2 linked regions of the Lonchura striata genome follow. Each later gene encodes a partner of the first gene's protein in a complex. Links are inferred from orthologs where the notes say so. Each region holds a gene or a part of one and is shown on either strand. Other genes may lie near its edges.

What was found.
Region 2: the proteins of ANKS6 (region 1) and ANKS3 are in contact, whole or in part, in a crystal structure (PDB 4NL9), measured with the Homo sapiens proteins. The link is inferred for Lonchura striata from reciprocal best matches to the Homo sapiens genes ANKS6 and ANKS3. Residues at the interface, in NP_775822.3 of Homo sapiens: Glu796, Gln797, Glu798, Val799, Asp800, Glu802, Ala803, Thr806, Leu807, Asp811, Glu814, Leu815; in NP_597707.1 of Homo sapiens: Lys441, Tyr442, Thr470, Leu471, Phe472, Gly473, Pro474, Arg476, Lys477, Arg484.

The regions. Positions count from the first base shown.
Region 1 is NC_134603.1:62,337,222-62,347,403, forward strand, and holds the start of ANKS6 (ankyrin repeat and SAM domain-containing protein 6), read left to right. Parts: upstream 1-5,482; coding exon 5,483-5,841; intron 5,842-9,164; coding exon 9,165-9,664; intron 9,665-10,182.
Region 2 is NC_134618.1:3,518,815-3,529,559, forward strand, and holds the start of ANKS3 (ankyrin repeat and SAM domain-containing protein 3), read left to right. Parts: upstream 1-6,060; 5' UTR 6,061-6,098; intron 6,099-10,703; 5' UTR 10,704-10,745. Other genes in the region: DNAAF8 (dynein axonemal assembly factor 8), read right to left, coding at 1-121, 806-919, 3,977-4,123. UniProt on the Homo sapiens protein: May be involved in vasopressin signaling in the kidney.

The sequences.
Region 1 (10,182 bases):
TATGTTTTTTAGTGTTTAAAGAGTTATAATTTCATTTGCTTCAGGAGTTTCAAACAAAGATAAGTAGAGTAACCAAACAAGTGATATAAAAACTCTAATTACTTATCTAGAAATATCTATTGTGTCCTTAGTTGTCCAAATTAAAACAGAAGATCAGTAGAATAATCAATGCCTTTGAAAAGTTTATTTTTAAAAATGGAAATTTTTTCTTTACCTCAAAAAGTATACAAAATATTAACTAAACCTATCAAAAAGCACTAAGATATAAAAACTAACCGCAACAATATGTAATTGTCCACGAGACAAGAATTCACATTATAGTGAATGTAATAGCTGAAGTTAAGAGTGTATCTGTTGCTTTCTGAAATATGTTTGAAATGCAGGTAATATTTAGTTCATCTAAAATACATGAGCTTTACATATAGGGAATACCTAAAATGCATGAGTTTTTTTAGGTTTCACCTAAAATACATGAGGTTTGCATATAGGGAATACCTAAAGAGGTAAGATAAGGTGAACTATTTGACACCTGTAGAGTTATTAAAAGGTATTCTTATTTTAAATGATGACATATACATTACAGAAAAAAAACTGAACTATTAAATTTTGCAAATTTTTCTTTTTGTGTGTAAAAAGCAAAAATCTAAAATAGAAATAGAGTGCTAAGACTGTATTTTCAATAAGTTAAAGAGCTTCCTAAATTCACACTTCCAGAGTAAAAATAGAGTATCAATTAATGTATTTCAGAATAAAGTTCCTAGTTCTAGAAAAAGCCAATGCTTACATATTCTAAAGAAAAAAGAAAAATCAGAAGAATATGATAGGAAACATCATGTACAAAAACTTTGGTCATAGATAGGAAATTTGCTTAAGGAAAGGAAGAATCGTACAAGCTATAAAACATACCCACTGGAGATAGTATTGGACCTATGGGCTCATTGTTCACCATTGTTTTAAATGTGCATAAAAACTGTGCACTGCCCTGCAACATCATCCCCCCCCCCCCCACCCCCCCCCAGTTCTCACCTTGGCTGCTCTTTCTCTCCTTTATTAGCACAAATATTTTTAAAATATTATTATTCAGCCTATAACTACCAGTGCCAAGGATTTTTTTTTAAATAAATGCGTTTGGATTGAAAGTCTCTTTATTCAAGACAGCTGCACAGCGCATACAAAACACGAAATTAGCCACACCCTGCTTCCCCAGTGCCAAAGGGTCCTAGTGCTTCAGCAGGATCCCTGTTTTACAGGGTAAGCTTTGGGTCAAGAGGGAAGCTGGGTGTATAGTGCACAGGTAGAGAGATCAAGGAGTTGAGATGAGAGGAAGAACTCTAAAAATAAAACAGATTAAAAACACAGACTTGATGACTGACATAGAAACTGTCGCCTCCTTCAGGGACCTTCTATCTGATGAATGCTGTGAAATTCTCCTAGTGACAGGTCAATAAAATGAGGCAGCATTCAGTGGATTACTTGGCCAAGACCTCAGCTACACCAGTTTGCAGACCTCTGTAGAACATGTATGTGCACATGTACATGTGTATGTGTACACATAGATAAATTACACACACAAAATGCCTTGCTCAGAAACTCACATAAAAGCCAGGACAGACAGACAGAGATAGAGTATGCATGTCAAAGGCATCAGTCAATATATTTGCTTGCTGTAGGTATGTATTGCTTGCAGATAATTTTTTTCTTAAGCAAAATAGCAAGCATGAACTACAGGCAGTGGAACATATAATGTACATAAAGGAAAAGTAGGCCAGGAAGCTTAGCTGTCAGAAAGTATTGCAACAAAACTGCAGTTCTGCTCACAAAGTATGGTATGATGTGGCATGTTAATGAAAATATGTTTTGTTGGAAACCTGACTGATTTTTCATGAAGTCTCATGCAGACACAATTAATTAAAACACAGAGTTGCAAATACTTTCTGAATGTTTGTCAAAATTATGGCATATTCTGAAACATATAAATGAAGTAAATTCCTCATAAAGGTATAGCACATGGTTATAGTAGACAAAGGGAAGACCATGATTAAAATTCAGAACCAAGAAGTCAAGCAGGTATTGCATAGTGAAATTAATCTTTGTCACCCTACACTGTAGCTGCTTACTACTATTTGGTTTTTTGTAATTTTTTCAAAGTTGTTTCTGTTTCTATGCCTGAAAGGACCACAGTTAACATACATTAACAAGTCCATACTGCGGAAGCATTTCCTGTTCTGTGATGGTATTTCTAATATATGTATCTTCCTTTTCATTAAGGCAGAGATAAGTGTTTTTACACAAAAGACATACTAAAAATTTCAGTTTTCTTTTTCTCAGAAGTATGACTTCCTTGTGATTCACATCAGTAAGATTCTACAGTAGAAAATAAGTATTTTACCTCTTAAATTGCCATGAAAAAATGCCATCATACTTGGGGATTTGAGATGCCACCAACCTCAGACTTTGAAAATACAGATTATGAGTGAGTCAGCTGTTTCTAATTTTATGGATTTCTTTGGAACAGATTGTTTGACAACTTGCATTTTAACATTTCTGAGAGGCTTTTGATTATGATGGCAATTTTACAGTTTTCCATATTTCATGATCCTGAATTATATACAAGGTAGAGATTTGCTCATGTGTCACGGTATGTATCCAAATATATTACATCCTGTTACTATTGTATGAGCAACAGAATTTTTTTGTCACCTTACCTGGCCAATTTGTAGTTCTACACCATTGCACATTGCCATCATTACACTTACTTTAATGTTCCACAGGCACATTACATGCTCTAACAGTTTCCTAGGCTATGTTTAGCAAAAGATGAATTCTGAATCTTGAAGAACAATAGCCCTAAGTAATTTATCTCTTTTATTTCACATTATATGATGAGTAGCATCAATAAAACTTGTATCTCCTTGCCAGTATTGCTGGTGTTTTGAGATCATCAGCAGTGGAGACTTATGCTAGAGAATTTTCATAGATGTTGATTCCTGACGTGTGTACTCCTGCCTTATCTGTTCTGCACTTTTTAGTGGGCCTGTTCTGTTCCTTGCACTTTCCTCATCTTTATTTGAAAATAATTTCTTCATTCATTTGGGTTTTTTCTGTAATTTAAAATTATTTTAACCTTGGAGCAATCTACCATTGAGCTATATAAATTAGCACAGAACTGATGCAAAGGAATTTCTTATCAAAAGCAATGTATTTTTCACTGACTGGATAAAGATGCAGTTTGGAAAAAATCTTCTGAACAACTCACACACAGTCTACACTTGAGAATCTTGGTTTTATTTTGTCCCATCTTATCTTCCAACCTAAGTTTTCTCCATTATCTTATCCTAACGAACTGTTTGAAAGGCTTAGGTTGTTCTTTCATTGGTGAAGAAATCAAATCCTATATTTTCCAAAGAGCTTGGTACTGCATCATCCAGGAGAAGACTCCATAGCAGTTTATTAATTTCAGAAGAAATTTGGTTATTTTTCCTTGCCTTGATTGTCAGTCTGTGACAGAAATCCCTGAGTGATCATACCAGTATAAAAGCCTACTGAAGATGGTAATGACCATCAGATGACAGCAGCAGAATTCAGGACAAATAATTTTCCCTCTCATGTTTTAAACCCCATCAAATATTTCCTATGTCTTATAAACTTCTTAAAATAGGTGTTGCATCTTTTGCTGATAGGTTTCTAAATCCATTAATGATATCTTTGTCTGGAGTTGCAAACCACGAGTAGAAATTGATAGCATAACCATCAGCTACGTAACATAAATTTGTAGGATCAACATGTTGAGTAGCTTATCTCAAAGATAAACTGGAGTGATCTTGTCACTAATTTGACTATATCTTAGCATGCACTTTGATATGGTAAGTATGACCCAATTTTCTTCAATAATGAATAATGTATTGCATTAATCACTCTTTCCATTCCCTTCTGCCAGGCTCTGAAATCTTACAAAGAGTGAAGTGCACCATCCAGCTTTATTGACAATGGCAAGCTTCTCATATTGCTGTAATGTAAGGATGGCTGTAGGATGATTTGGCTGGACCAAAATTCTACCAACCCACCCATCTTTATTCTGCTGACGGCCACTGTAAGCTTCTTTATGCTTAAGAAAATTATTTAACATAAATGTAGGCAACACATACTTAATTATTCTACATGAGTTAACACATGTTATTTATAATGAAAGAAGTATCCTTGAACACCTGCCCTGTCCAAGAAATTGTTCTATTATTTCTGTAATGATAAATAAGCAAATACTTATTTTGTTTTGCTATGAATGGTACTTTCCCAAAGGAAAAGTGTCCATAACTGCAGCCAAGACTCTTGTTTGCTGTAGACTTTCTCCAAGTGTAACTTGTTCGGCCCTTTGCCATGATGATCTAGTAATCTGGATTTGCCAGTGTTTCAGAGCCAAAAGGGTGTAAAACTTGGAAGATGAGGATGCCACTGCCTAAACCCAGGGGATTGCTACATTTTAGTGGCATTTGGTAGTTTTATTATATTATTTTTAGGTTTTCCTAGTCTTCTCATCCCCAAACCCTCCATCCTGTAACAGGTGCCCTGTCCTGCCATTGAAGTCACTGATTTTCATAGAAAATTACCTATCTGAATTTACAGACAGGGACACAACACGATATCCTTGAGTGACAAAGTTCAAGATTTTTCTTTTCTTCTTTGCCTTGCTTTAGATGTAAAATCAGTTTAACCTAGGAAAGATTTCAGGATTTCCTAGGGGTCTGGAACTGAAGAGAAGACACACAGGAAATCTACATTTTATGCACAAAGATTTTAAACTGATGTCTAATCAGCGCTGTCAGGAGATGAGACATGGGTATTTGTAGGGCAAAAGACTGAACTTCAAATCCTGTATCTCATTGAAAGGAGAGATCGCTTTGGAGCTATAGGAGACACAAAGTAGAACGGTGCAAGTAAAGGCTGAAGCATCACGTACAGGGAGCGGGGCTGACAAAGGGACCGCGCCAGGCTGTACGAAGTCGCGTTGCGAAGCAAGAAAAAGGGATTGTTGTGTCAGGTGAGAAGGAATAAACCCCATAGCGAAGGCCTGCTGAAATGACCCCGGGCAGAAAAGACACGCAATGCGGAGACATTTGATTGTGTGGCAGCCAGTAACGGCGCGGAACGGCTGCAGCCAGAGCGCAGAAATCCCTCGGCGAGGAGGGCAGGAGCCGTGCGGACACAGGCGCTGGCTGGGCGAGGCAGGGAGGCACCGCAGGGGGCTGCCAGCGGGGCAGGAGAGGCGCCGAACACCCCGGCCCAGGCTGGGCTAACCCTCGGCGGCTCCGAGGAGCGCGGCCCAGCCCGGCTCCCCCTTCGCGCCGGGCGAGAGCGGCCGGGGCGCTACGGCCGCCCTGGGCCGGCCTCCTCCCGCCAGGCGAGTCCCCTCCTCCCCGCTGCCTTCCCGGCGGCGGCGGGGGCGGTCGCGGGCGGCCGAGCCGCTCGGCGCCCGGCAGCGCTGCCCATGGGGGAGTGCGGCGTGCCCCCCCAGGTCCAGCTCTTCCTCCGCGCCTGCGAGCAGGGCGACTGCGAGACCGCCCGACGCCTCCTGGGGCTGCCCGGCGGCGGCGGCCCCGCCGACCCGGCGGCCCCCTCCTCCTCCTCGGGCGGCGCCGAGGAGACGGCGGCGGAGCCCCGCGGCGAAGCGTCGTCCCCGCCGAGCCCCGCCGTGCCCGTGGACTGCACGGACGAGGCCGGCAACACGGGGCTGCAGTTCGCCGCGGCGGGAGGCCACGAGCAGCTGGTGCGGTTCCTGCTGCGGAAGGGCGCCTCGGTGCAGAGCAGGAACCACTACGGGTGGAGCCCCCTCATGCAAGCGGCCAGGTACAGGGGAGAGGGAGGGAGGGATCGGGCCCGATGGGGTCCCAGCTTCGGCCTAGTCGGCGGCAGCCCCGGGGCGGGGATGGGAGGGAGGGCCGCCGGGGCTCTGCCTTCCCCGCCCCCGGGCTGCCGCGGGCGCTCGGCTCCCTCGCCCTGCGGACCCCGGGCCGGGGCAGGACGCCATGTTGGAGGCCGCGGTGGGTTGCGGAGCCCGCGGCTGTCCCGGGGAGCGGAGCGGTCACTCGTCCCGTCCTTGGGGGGGCTGGCCAGCGTAGAACTGGCTAAGTGCTATCCTGGGGCACTGGGAACTATTCATGTTAAGAATGTGGTGTTTACTATTCCTTGGTTAAGCCGGCGCAAAATTGGAGCTAACGTGAACACGAAACACTGCTCTCCTCTGTGACGATAGCTGTATGCACGTAGCCTTACTTAATTTTCTATTTTTCTATTTTTTTCCCGTCTGTATGTGTCTTTCTTACTTGTTGAAAACTACGTCTGACATAAAACATACTGAAGCAAACTGAAACGATTAATTTCACTTGGCTGGCCCTTGTTTGCCTAGGTGGCTTGCTGGAGGATAGGGAAAATCATTACTGAGGGGTTTTAATGACAAACCGGTTGTTTTCTGCATCGGTGACACTGTCCTTTCATAACCCACTGCTGGGCCGTGGGAGGTTCCCGTGTTGCTGATGCTGGTGTTGGTACTTTGTCTTTATTCCTAGGCACACCTTGAGCTCACAGGCGTGTTTTGCAGGGTTGGAGGGCATTGCTGTCCTATAATAACTGAATGCTTAATCAGGAGAATATTTTTTTGTTGTTGTTCTGCTTTTTTTTTTTTTTTTTTGTTGGTTTTGTTGTTTTTTCCATAACATTAAAATATTTGGAAGAAAATAATCTGTTTCAAAGTCAGTATTTCTCTTTTCAATTAATGGCCATAGCAAGTTCCCAGAGGATGAGTCACACAGCCGGTTTCCCAGAAAGAACAAGGAAGACAAAGTTCAACAATTTGGTTATTTTATGAAGGTTTTAAAAAAAGGAAAAAAGTTGTAGAAGCAGTTTTAGATTTTTCCCCCTTAATGAAAACCATATGCTCATTTCCTAAAAACAATAAAGTCAGATATAACCCTCTCACTGATATCAAGAAATTACTGACTGACATTTGAAAAGTACTGTATATATATATATATATATATATATGTATATATATATATATACATATATATATGTATTTATTGTTATATATATATATGTATTTATTGTTGAGAAGCATATAGTAGAAAAGTATGTTTCTCTTTTCTTTTTAATGGATAATCAGAAAAGAAGCCCAGTGTTTGTGCAAAAGTAGGCTTCAGACTTAGGTAACTGTTTAATTTTCTGGCTGTGATTAGCTCTGTTGCAGTTGGACAGGAGGTGGCATGTATGCATAAAATTAACTGTGTGCAGGGGTTGCAGGCTCTACTGAAGTGATGGAGTGAAGGGTGCAGGATAGACCTAAGGAGTACACAGGCTCCAGAGGCTTCCTTCTGCAACTGTGTACTTTCTGGAAGGAAACGAAGGACTCTGGGGCTCGTGGTTGGTAGCATTCTTTGGGGTTTCCTTGACTAAGCTTTGCTTTGTTGTAATATACAAAGGCTGCCTTCAGGGTCAAAAGTTGGGTTGTGCTAGGCACAATGTGCATGAGCATGTAGTAGTGCACGATGCCTGCAACAACAGCATGATGCACACATCTTGTCAAGGTATTATATTTATTAAAATACGGGGTTGCCATTTTTTCACTGATAATCTGGCTGGTTGGGTGTGTGGCTTACATGATTGCCTTTTGCTTACTGACAAACTAGCAGAGCCTCTGATAAGTCAAGTGATTTCAAAACTAGGTAAAACTGGTGTGTTCAGTAGTCTGACCAAGTTCTTGTAGATATTCCACACAAGGAGGGTTTGGTGCCAAATTTCCATATTGGAAGATACGTAACATTACACAGGGTTTTAATTTAATTTAACCTTGTAATACAGCAGTCTCCTGAAATCATAGCACAAGCCTGACATAACAACTGCAACAGATAGTCAATCACATCACGGCACACCCATTACCATTCCCTATATGCTCATCTTCACAATGCTGGAAGGAATGGGTTAAAAACCACAAGACTGTTGAGGAGGATTGTAAATCACTTAAGTGACCTTGCAGCCAGGAATAATTCTAGATAACATTGTATGAACTGCAATCCAGTGGTTCTTTAGCACTAACTGGTAATAGTACTTGCTTGGCTACTTCTGTATCTCTGCCTGTGTGTTGCTTTGGGGATCCCCAGGTTCACGAGGTAACAAATAAATTTACTCTTTGCCTTCTATCTGAGTGAGTTTGTGGTTGTTCTGGCTTCCTGCTTGTGTCAACTTGTGCACTGGGTATCTCCTGTTATCAGGAAGCAATATGTGGCTGGAAGCCAAGTCAAGCACCTTACTTTCTTAAAATTTATCTTCTAGTTCCTCAGTTTTGGTGTTCATCTGAACTGTGTAGATGCTTTCCCCATGCTGGTCTGTCTGACTGAGGAGCAGAATAATTTCCATTGATTGTTTTAGGGAAGGCCATTCACATGGCCAGTTGTCCCACTCTGTTGGTAAGCCATTTCTCTTAGAGATCTCCTCTGGTCCCCTTGGTGTTGAGGGAAGTTCAGCTAACTTTACAACAGTGATGGCCACTCACAACGTGAGTCTACATTTGGTGTCATTCCTGCAGGGCAAGCTTCCCTGAGCTTCCTGGGTACGTCTGTATTCACTGAGTCTTCTTCCATTGTGGGAGTTCATTGGTGGCTCACAACTGCAAAACAAGGGATAATGCAAATATAAGACTGACTCTCCAGTTGATAAAATAGTCTTTTTCTTCCTTAGTTAGCAGTTGTTCAATAGCAATGAAGATACTTAATAAAGATCCTTGGAAACAAGCTGGCTTTGATCCGCTAATGTGATACAGCTGTGGAAATAAGAGGATGAAAGCGACACTCTGGTTTGTGGAAGTTATGAGTTGGTGCCCTGCAGCAGAAAATGAGGCTGGCACTTTTCTGCTTTGAGCAGACCATCCTCTTCAGTAGGTGCCTGCTTTATGAACATGGTCACTGGTGCATGTGGAATGGTTTAGTTTACAGTCCTTAGCTGATGATTGGTCTCCTCCATCAAGGTGCCCATTGTCACATTCAGAGATGTTTGTGTGATCCCCCACAGTGTGCATATTAGTCAATAGGCAAAGTTGGTAACAAAGTTTTCTAGGTTCAGAGTATGTTGGATTTTGCAATCCAAGGTGTTAATTCTCCTCTGTATCTCTTTCTCCCAAGGTTTGGACATCTAAGCGTGGCCCACATCTTGTTGGAGAATGGTGCTGATCTCAATGCACAGAACAAGTTAGGGGCCAATGTTCTCACAATGGCCTCCAGAGGTGGTCATGTCAGCATGGTGAAACTGTTGCTGGAATCCGGAGCTTTTGTGGACAATTACGACCATTTTAGCACAAATGTACTTAACAGCAGCAGAGATGACCTTCCTGATATCACTCCGCTGATGGCAGCTGCTCAGCATGGACATGAGGCAGTGGTACATCTGTTGCTAGACTGGGGAGCTGATTGTAACTACACTCTAAAGACAATGGGCTGGAGTCCTTTAATGCTGGCAGCTGGCAGTGGAAAGGTGAGCTTGGCACAGCAGCTCATGGAGAAAGGTGCCAATCCTGATCACTTGAATGTACTACATAAAACACCTTTAGAAATCTCTGTTGGCTTCAAACACAAAGACATGAAGGACTATTTGGAATCTCTTACAACCATTAGGCCTCAAGCAGGTATGGAATGTTATGTTTTTGTTTCACTTCAGAAATTGAGGAGCTTATTTTGTATGGGCATGATGTTCTTTGTAGTTTGCAGCTGGATTTTGAAAATGCTGGAGTAGGCACACCTACTTCAGCTGAGGTACGAGTGCCCAACTTCAGCAGATTTTTTTCATGTTAGCAGGATAAGATGTCTGTATGTGGCTCTTTTGGGGACACTTTTCAAGGTATTTATGCAAACCAGCACTGGGAAGTGTAGAACAAGAGGTTCTACACTTTGGAAGAGCTGGATTTTCCAGCTTTGTACTGCTTGCTATAAAATATAAGGATTGGCTAGCTCTAGAAAGATCATTTTCCACTGCCATATGGACATGTCCAAAACCGTTGTCTACGTTTGGTGTCTTTCCTGCAGGGCAAGCTTCCCTTGTACTTGAAGAAGTAAGAACAAAAATCAGACATCTGTTTCTGCTGTAGAGAAGGTGTTAACTCACATATAGGTTAAGTTGGAATTCTAGAGCTTTCATACAGCCATG
Region 2 (10,745 bases), on another chromosome or scaffold:
CCCCATCTTTAATCATTTGTACATCTTCTTTTGCCATGATTTGGGCACCATCTGTTCTTTCCTGAAAGTCAAAACTTTCCAGGTCTCTGTTCCAGATCTCCCATGGAAGTCTTTCTGTCTCCTGGATTTGCTACAGGTAGAGAAAGCACAAACATAGAGAAAGTCAATCTCCCTGAGCTTTGGAAGTGTATAAAAAACCAAAACAGAGTGATTGGAAGGCAACAGCTCCAACTCAGACACCATATGGAAACAACCCACACCACGTCCCTCATGGAAAACAGTGAGATTGTTTACTTTCCAGAAACTTTGATTTCAGGAACTGCTAAACATCCTTTAAATTACTTTTTCTTATATGTGCTCATTATTCAAACCCAAACCATTCTGTGATTTCATGGATTTATCTTTGTTGAAGGAACAATGTGATTTTATCCCAGAAAAGCTGTTCAAAGAGTAAACTTCATACTTTTCCTCTTTCCTGCACTGTCCTAATTAATTTTCTGGACACATAAAATGATTGCACAGGAATTAGTGCACAGGAAAAATTAATGCACAGGAAAGAAAAACAGTAAAGGGACAATAAAAGCTGCCAAGAGATGGGACAAAAAAAATCCAAAATCTCAAGAACAGAGAAAACTTTAAAGGGCCAATGCAAAAAGAGAAAAAAAGTTATATTTTCTAGTGAGAGAAAATACTGAGGACTAAGTTTTTCCTGTTCAGACAAATAGGTCAGACATCAGCAGCTGTCCACACTGGGGACAGCCAGAAGAGAGGGGTGACAGGACAGCCCACACACAACAGTCCCAACCTGCTCCTGGGAGTCTTCCAGGGAAAACATCATCAGCTCTTCCGACAGGTCCGGAATTAAGTTGGGCAGGTCCCGCTGGTAGATGAAAAGCTCCTCATCACTCTCACAATCAGACTGCAAACAGAATAAAACAGAGAAATTAAACAGGAGACTGCAATACTCACTGATATTGGAATATCTGGTTTGAAGTGACAGCTCCCATGTTGGCACCTCTTGAAGTGCAGAGACAAGAAGTTTCCTTGCAGTCGCACCTTTACTAGACAGTCTGGTAGCCCAAGAGTCACCAACCTCACATTTCAGCAAGTTACAAATGTAAAAACATGTAAAACATCAAATTCCCATGGAGGTTAATGACAAACCTCCTGCTGAGAAAAGCAAAGGAAAGTGTGGGAAGTTCTCTAACTCCCAAGTGATTCTCTGCACTACCTCATTCACCATCAGAGAGGCAAGAGCATAGCTGCTCAATATTTACAAGGGCCTGGAGTGCCAGGACAAGGGGAAATGGCTTCCCACTGCCAGAGGGCAGAGATGGATGGGATATTGGAAAGGAATTGTTCCATGGGAGGGTGGGCAGGCCCTGGCACAGGGTGCCCAGAGCAGCTGTGGCTGCCCCTGGATTACTGACAGTGTCCAAGGCTAGGCTGGATGGGGTTTGGAGGAGCCTGGGATGGTGGAAGGTGTCCCTGCCTATGGCAGGGGTGGAACTCGATGAGCTTTAAGATCCCCCCATCCCAAATCATTCTGGGATTCTCAGGAACTGGAAAGGCAAGGCCTCACTAGGCAAAGCCCAGTCCCACAGAACCCAAAAGGAACAAGCAGAACAGAGCAGGGGGATCTACCAGGCTGAGGCACAACTCCAGATCCTTGGGCAATATTGGAGTGATGAGGCTGGTCAGAGATCAAAACTGAAAGTCAATTCACAGGTGAAAGTCTGGCTCAGGCAGGATCATAACTAGAAAACCAAAACTTCCCTAACATAGCTCAGAGAAGGAGTGAAGGGCCAGAGCTGAGCTTAAATAGAGCTGCTGGAGCCCCAGGTGAGGCCAGGCAGGGCCATGAAGGCTTTTCACTGCCCTCAAGAGCCTGATTCCTGTTCAGAATGCAAACAGCGTCTGTGTTTGGTCAGGCAGCATTTAGATAGCTCTGACAATCCCTTTTTTAAACATCAGATATGCATTGGAGATGAATCCTTATGCATGGACACCAAAAGGAGATTAAGCAGCTCCTCAGCAGTCAGGACACAGCTTTCCTGCTTGTCCCTTTGTTTTGCAAGTATGCATTTTTGGAATTCACACTGCAGAGAATCCACTCTGGTGTCATTAACACAAAACCAACTGCATCAGAACATCTTTCCTCTTAATAAATTGCATATCAGGGTAATGAAAGGGCTTCAGGGCATAAAACACATTTGTGAGTGCCATTTTTGGAGGTGGGAACAGAGCACGTTCAGGTGACAGCTCGCAATCTTTCCCACGTGGAAATTCCTCGGACAAAGGTGCAGCCCTGGAACTGCAGCCTCAGCAGGACAGGGATTACACAACCAGATCTTTTGAATACAAATGAAGTGCCAGACAGATTGCCTCAGTTCCTTCTGCAGGAAATCTTTTCCATGTGGGATAGAAACAGAGAATTTGGAGATTGTAAAGAGTGAAAAAAATGTTCAGCACGATTTGGGGTTCTTCAATGGTGTTTGGCACCAAAATTTGGAGCTGCTTAGCCTGGTTGTAATTTACTCAACAAGTAAACCTATAAATAATTTCAGTGTTGGGCTTTCATCTGTACTACAGAGGCACATGTTAAAAGGCAAGGGTTGTTCTAAATAATTATAACGGTGTAGGTAGAGGGAACTGAGAACAGTGTGGGAATGTGATTTGTCCATCATGACAGTGAAAGATGTAAGTGCAGAATCCAAGTCATGGAATCCCATCAACACTTTATCCAGCAGATCACACTGCTTTGGATCATTGGTAAATAATAAATACCCACTGGAGGCATTTCTGGCTCTTTCACATCTCACAATCTTCCCCTGCACCATTAATGTCTACACTAAGTTGGGATAAAATATATTCTTTGTGTGTTCAAAATGTTTTTCAAGTTTATACATGTTTGAAAATTAACACGATGTTCTGATTTGGACAAAATGCCACTAATAATCAAATCTTGAGACACATTATCCCCTCAGAAAAGTCGATGCCAGAGCATTTTGGACTAGAGAAGAGCACCAGAGCAATGCTGTCCTGTGAACAGAGATTTCAGCAGCCAAGAACAGCCTGGCCCAGACCCAGCAAGCAAAAACCTGTACCAGTTAAGAACTCTGCACAACACCTCTCAGTCTCACACTTCATATGAAAAGGTTTCTGCAATTATGCTTCTTTGGCAGGTAAAAAGCACAAAAAAGCAACATGTCTTGTGGAGAACCAGCCTCAAGTACATAATAATCTGTGATATCATGGAATACCAAGATGGTTTGGGTTGGGAGGGACTGCAAAACCCATTCAGATCCACCCCTGCCATATCCAGGGACACCTTCCACAGTCCCAGGCTGCTCCAAGCCCTGTCCAGCCTGGCCTTGGGCACTGCCAGGGATCCAGGAGCAGCCACAGCTGCTCTGGGCACCCTGTGCCAGGGCCTGCCCACCCTGCCAGGGAACAATTCCTTCCCAATATCCCATCCATCCCTGCCCTCTGGCAGTGGGAGCCATTCCCTGTGTCCTGTCCCTCCATCCCCTGTGCCCAGTCCCTCTCCAGCTCTCCTGGAGCCCCCTCAGGAACTGGAAGGCCACAATGAGATCACCCCAAAGCTTCTCTTTTCCAGGCTGAACAATCCCAGTTGTCCCAGCGTGGCTCCCAGCAGAGCTGTTCCATCCGTCTGCTCATCCTGGAGCCTCCTCTGGATTTGCTCCAGCAGCTCCAAGTCTGTGCTGGGCCTCAGGGCTGGAGGCAGCTCTGCAGATGGGGCAGAATCCAAAGAATACTGGGAGAGGAGGTGGCAATTACACTTGGGTAATTAAGGATAATCCAGAAGGCTGTGGATTAACACACAGTGTTCTGTAGTGAGGACAGGCAGCCCACCCAGGATACCACACCAGCCACCCCAAAATGCCTGATAAGGTCACCTGCTCTTGCTTTTGAGAGTTTTTTCCCACAAGCCAGAGGGATTTTCAATGCTTACTGTGGAGGAGTCGGAGTCCAGGGATGGGAGCTGGTCTTTCACTGCAGCAAGGAAGGTTCCCCACTGGAATGTCCTGTTCCCCTGCACAGGAGCTGCAGGAGGCTCAGCTGCATGTTCTGCATCCTCACTTTGTGCTTCTGAGGCCATTGGAACAGCTTCCCTTCAAGCAAAGGAAAGATGAGCCTAAGGACAGCTCTCCAAACATGAGATAACATCAGTTCAAAACAAGGACAAGGTGTGTGTGGCCAGAGAGTGTGTGTGGCCAGAGCAGAGAATTCCCAGCACTCCCAGCAGGAAATGTTAAAATCTGCATTTCTGGAGCTATTCCTTTCCATCCGAGTTCAGAAATGGCTAAGAGCTTTCTGCCCTACTCACTACAAACATCCCAGGGGCAGTTTAACCCCTCATTTATAAGGAATTTTGTTTTGATTCTCAGCCAGAGTGCTGTAACTGTGTCCTCTGCAAGCCTGTTCCCGTGTTCTGCCTGCAGGGATGGGACAGGAACACAACAAAGGCAGGCTGACACCTCTGCTCTCAGCTGGATTGACTCCTCTTCCCAATTTCCCTCACATTCCCCTCCTCCCTACTCAGAAGATAGATAAAATGATCACAAAGTCATGGAATCTCATAATGGTTTGGATTGGAATGGAGCTTAAAGACTCTCTTGTTCTACCCACCTGCCATGGGCAGAGAACCTTCCATGTGATTCATGTTTACTTTTGTTTTCACTGGACTTTTATTTTTAAAAACAGTAAAGAATAGGCACATTCATGGATTTTGACCACTCAAAGTGTTTATAAAGTGGACTCTTTCCTCCTGTTCCTTGATGTCCATGAGAAGCTGAGACAACACAGTAGGAACTGCAGCTGCACTAAGAGGTCAGATCATTCACCCTCACAGAAAAACTTTACATTTTATACTACAATCACATGGTGTTCTGGGCAGTCAAACATGAGAGGAAATGATTTCTGGTTCAGAGGTGTCACAGAATATCCAGGGTTGGAAGAGACCCACAAGGACCATGGCAGGTTGGTGACTGTGAGTAACTGACACTGTTATCTGCATTGGCCACGAACACGCCTCAAAAAGTGAAGTTAAACTCAACTATCCCCCTGGGAAGTTTATAACTTTCAAATTGCTTCTGTAGATACTTCATAGGCCTCATCTATAGTGGTTTTGTTGGTGTGAGACAATGCCTGAATTTCACTTAGATAAGAAACAGGGAAATCCTCCTGGCTGGAGCACTGTGCTCTGACACTGAGCAGAACTTGCCAAGGGTCAGAGGAGCCCCATGGGGATAAAACAAACTGCCTAGTGTGGCTCCCTGTGCCAAATTCTGAGATAAACATCCCAAGGTTATAGATGGACACTGGATCTGACTTGTCAGTCAGCTAATGCAGCATCTTCTGTAGGAGCAAACAGTGCTCTGTGTCCAAAACAAACACTTAGCAGTAGCACAACAGTCATTTTCTGTAGAACTTGTGCACGGTAGGGCGAAGGTTGGACTTGATGATCTTGGAGGTCTTTTCCAGCCTTAACGACTCCGTGACTCTGAGACTTGAAACCCTGAGCTTCTCCTTGTCCCCAGAACTGACGTTTGCCGGTTAGGAGAAGCGGTGAGGACAGCCGCAATGGTGGGAGGCAGAGCTTGGCTCCGGCGCTGAGCCCCGCAGCCCCGGGCCGAGCCCCGGGCCAGGGACGGGGCTCGCCTGAGGGGCCCCGCTCACAGCCCCGCAATGGCGGCGCACGCCCACCGTCCCCATGGCAACGCGGCTCCCGGGCCCGGGCCCCGCCCCGCTCCCCTGCCCTCACTCACGGCGCCCACAGCCCCGCTCAGCGCCGGGCGGGCCGGGCCGCGGGCACAGCGAAGCGGCGGCACCGGGACGAGCGCAGGGCCGGGACAGCCGCGGGGCGCTGCTCGGGGCCGCTCCGTGCAACCGCCCGCCACCAGCCCCAACGCCATTGGCTGCCCCGCGCCACGCCCCTCACACGGGCTCCTCCCATTGGCCCGGCGCCGCGGGGGCTCTTGGGTGTTGTAGTTCGCTGCCCGTGAGGGCGGGGGCGCTCCCGGCATGCCTTGCGCTTGGGGACTGGTTCCGGCGGCGGCGCTCACCGGGCGCAGGTGAGGGAGCGGCGGGGCTGGGGCGGGACAGCGGCGAGGAGCGGCGGCGCTCACCCCTGGGGCCGGCCCGGGCACTCCCGGCCTCCCTCCACTGTGCCCGTGGCCGCACTGCTTCCTTCCCGCTCGCTGCAGTCTGCGATGCTGAGGCCGCGTTGCTAGCAGGGCCGCGAGGGAGGCAGGTGCGGGGCTAACGGCCCCGGAGCCGTTTGCTGCGAGATGTTCGGTAACAGCCGCGTGGCGGCCGCTCTGGCAGCCGCTGGGCTCGCCTCAGGTGCGTGGTTGTGTGAGCGGAGCGTGGCCGGGCCGAGCCCTGCGGGGGCCGTGTCCGGCGGCCTGGGCGGGCACAGCCCCCGGCAGGGGAAATGTGCTCCCTGATGTGGCTGCTCGGTGCTTTCGTGCCTCTTGCCTCGCTTTTCTGAGGTTGTTTGATGTGTTTTAATGTGCCCGAGAGTTACAGGCTCGTGGTAGAATCGCTCAGCTTGGAAAGGGCCTTTAAGGTGATTGAGTCTAAGCATTAAAAGATGAAAAGCTTGGTGTGTTTTGTGTATTTTCAACAGATGTGGGTAGGATTGAACTCGAGTGTTGTGAATCCAGGAATGTTTCCTCTCACCCACCTCAGGAACCTGGTGTGGTTCCTGCAGCTGTGAATTGTGCTAGCTGAGTCAGTCAGCGAATGATACTCTGCAAAAATGAGATGTTCTGGTTCCTGTTGTGGCTGAGCTGGTAACAATTGCACCTAAAAAGGGAAGTAATGGGGCCTTTTTAAGTCCCTCTGATAAGTTGTTGCTGGTTTAGTGGAAATAGAGCAAAGTCAGGAGCAGAAGGGGAGTGTGTTCCTGCTCTGTTCTGCTCTGACCTGGTGGGGCCTCACCTCGAGTCCTGGGGGCAACCACAATATCAGAAGGATCTAAAACTGTTGGAGAGTGCCCCAAGGAGGGGCAAGGGGAAGGGTCTGAGGAGCAGCTGAGGGCACTTGGATTGTTCAGCTGGAGAAGGAGACTGAGGGCAGAGCTCTGGGCGGGGGGGGCAGCAGTTCCAATCAGGGAATGGCTGGAGCTGGGTCAGGCTGGATTTTGGGAAAGGTTCTTCCCCCAGAGGTGCTGGGCACTGCCCAGCCTCCCCAGGGAATGGGCACAGCCCCAAGGCTGCCAGAGCTCCAGGAGTGCTTGGACAGCGCTGCCAGGGATGCCCAGGGTGGGATTGCTGGGGTGTCTGTGCAGGCCAGGAGCTGCCCTGGATGATCCCTGGGGGTGCCTTCCCACTCAAAATATTCCATGACTCTCTCATGTCAGTTTGCTGGCTCAGTTGGAACCTCCAGCAGTCTCCACGCTTGTGCTGCCTTAGGTGTCCCTATTTTGGGACAGAAGGACACGTGTGGATGTCACCAGTGCTTGTGGGAGGGGGTGTGACAGAGTGAATTGAGCTGAGCAGTGCCTGCTGAGGGTGATTAACAGCCAGTGTTGCATTTGTTCTGTGTTGGGGGCTGGTTGCTCCTCAAATCTCCTTCCATTTATTGTAGTGTGGCTCTAAGGTGCTTGTTGTGTCAGTTTTCATACTATGTTTATTTTTTTTCTGCCTTCTGGTGTGCTCAAACAGCAAACTCCAAATCCAGGGAAGTGGGGTTTGTTGCCTGCTCTATGCCCCAGCACTGTAGAGCTCTAACCCTGAGAAATAGCTGAGTGCTGATGGATTAAATTTAATATAATAATAACAGCAGCCTTACAGGTGTCATGGCTTGACCCCAGCTGGTTACCAGGTACCAGGCTGCTCCTTTTCCCTGCTCCATCCCAGTGGGATGGGGAGGAGAATCAGAAAAGAAAGTAAAAAACCTCATGGCTTGAGGTAAGAACAACTTAATTATTGAAGCAAAATAATAATACTATAATGATAATTATCACGAGAAAATAAACCCATACGAAACTCAAAAGCAAAAGGATTGCTCAGCACCTGCTGATTCCCATCCCATGTCCAAGCTATGATTGGCCCCTCCCAGGCACATTCCCCAGTTCATATACTGGGAGTGATGCTCTGTGGAATGGAATATCCCTCTGGCCAGTTTGGGTCAGCTCCCCCCTGGCTTCTTGAGCACCTCCTTGTTAGCAGAGCATGGGAAGCTGCAAAGTCCTTGATTTAAGGTAAGCACTGGATAGCAGCAACCAAAGCATCAGTGTGTTATCAGCATTCTTCTCATCCTAAATCCAAAAGCAGCCTGTGCCAGCTGCTGGAAGACAATGAACCCTATCCCAGCTGAAAGCAGGACAGCAGAGCTGAGGGAGGCCTCTAACAAATGTGAACTTCTGCCCCAGAGCAGGGGAACAGCCTGTGAATGTTCTGGAGGTCTTTGTCAAACTTATTCTTAATATTGGGTTCTGTTGTGGCTGCCTCATCCCTGGAAGTGTCCAGGGCCAGGTTGGACAGGACTTGGAGTAACCTGGAATACTGGAAGGTGTCCCTACCCATAGCAGGTGGTGGAACAGGATGGGCTTTGAGGTCCCTTCCAACCCAAACCATCCTGGTATTCTGTGACATGATGCATTATTATGCTTGTGTCACATGTCCCCTCCAGGCTCCTCCTCTTTGCACCAGATAACTCTGATTTTGTTTCATTCAGGTCTTTTCAGTTCAGTTCTGAGAGTTGTGATCACTGTTGTTGTCCTGGAGATTGTGAGCAGCTGTCCTCAGGTGATTGCAGAGCTGACGACTTGCTAAAGTTCAGTGTGAGGAGCTTTAAAAAAATAAAAAGCAAATATGTAGGCAGAGCACAGGAGAGGTGTAGGAGGCTGAATGTCCTGGATGTTCTGTCCTGTCCTTATTGCCCTGCTGACTGTGGATCACCTCACCAAGGCTGCATTGGTAACTTGTACCTGAGAGTGGCTGATTCTGACAAAGACCAGATACTTGAGTGGTTTATAATTAATGTACCCAATTAACATGGAGAGTAGAGAACAATGAGCTAGACTTGCACCTAAATGTACTTCTACAAACTGCCCTGGATTCCACCTCCTTTCACTGCCTTTTGGCCTCCCTGGGGCAGCTTTAATCTGCTTTAGTGAGAAATTCCTACTTTGCCCCTTATGATCCACTTCAATCCACTTAGCTCTCCTTGTGTTTTGATTGTGAGGTGGTCAGGCCCTTCCCTTGTGCTCTGCATATTCCTGTCTGAGGCCTCTGGGTTGCCCAGTGCACTACAAATTCCTGCTGTCAGGCAAAGTAGGTGCTTTTGCAGGTATTTTTAAAGGGAAATAATTTCTTACCAGCTGATGGAATAGAATAGATGGTGCTTTTGTAGTCTTAACAAGCTGAGAATGAAGGAGGGGAAGAAAAGGAAGGTGGGAGAGAAAGGATCCAGGTGGGGAGTGAAGAGGTAGGAATGAAAGGTGTTTTCTTATAAGAAAAGGGGATGGTGCTTGCAAGGCAAATATTCCCAGTTGCTCAGAAAACAGGACTATGGTCTTGAAGTGTTACAGCTGAGGAGCAGCTGCTGCTGAAAAACCTGTTCCTGCTCTCTTTTATTCCTCACCAGTGCCACATTTGGCATTTGCCTGACCCCAACATGAATCCAAGGAGTTAAATTGGTGAGAAGTTACCAGGAAGAAGAAGGACTTTATGTTGTCTTACCTTATGTAGAGGGACCAGGCAAACCCCAGGAGAGCTGTATGGTGGGCAGTGAGACTACAGGGAGGGAAAAGCAATTCCCATGGGATTGCCTGGAACAAGCTGCCCAGAGAGGCTGTGGATCTCCTTCCCTGGATATATCCAGAGCCCACCTGGACACAGCCCTGTGTCAGGTGCTCAGAGGGCCCTGCTTGAGCAGGGAGGTTGGGTGAGGTGACACCCAGTGGTCACTTGCAACCCGAACCACTCTGGGGTTCTGTGCTGGGGGCTGGATTCTGTGTCCTGGAGCTGCAGCTGAAGCCCTCAGCTGCTGGATACAGCTGTGCTGGGCTCTTCATGGAGTGAAGAAGAACACTCCTGTGGGAGGTTCAAATGATCAGTCTGCAGTTGCTCCCCAAGGCTGGGACTGGGATAAACCTTTCAGGCAGTCCTGGAGCTGGAGGAGCTGTGTAATTAAGGAGGGGGGGTGTGCTTGGATAATGCATGGGTAGGTGCACTGCTGCCCCCAGTGTTTCAGCATTTTCCAGGATTCACTGAGATGAGGCTGGGCTGCCTCTGAAGGGCTGAAACAATAAGTGGTAGAAACAATCTACTTACAACCTGATGACAGTGGAGGGTACACCCTCTTCAGGTGACAGAGTGTTTTGGGAGCAGTGGGCAGTTGTCATTATTAATGACTGTGTCTTAATTTAATCAGGACCATCCTATAATGCAAGACAGATGGACAAGACCAGCAATGTCTGACATATGAATTCTTAATTCTCTCCCTGCATTATAAAACATGCAGAGCAAGAATTACATCCTTTTGTAAAACACTAAGCCTACCTTCAGCTCTTAAATAGATGTTTAGTCTTCTCTTGCCGAGGTTATTTAAAGCTGCCTTAGACATATTTGGATTAGGCAGGGAGGAAATAAAGCTGCTGCTTCTGCAGTCTTAAAATGAGATTTGAAAGATGTGGGGTTTAGCATTATTGACTTTTATTTTTCCAGTGTATTGGAATCCCAGAGTTCTCTACAGCAAGAGAAAACTTC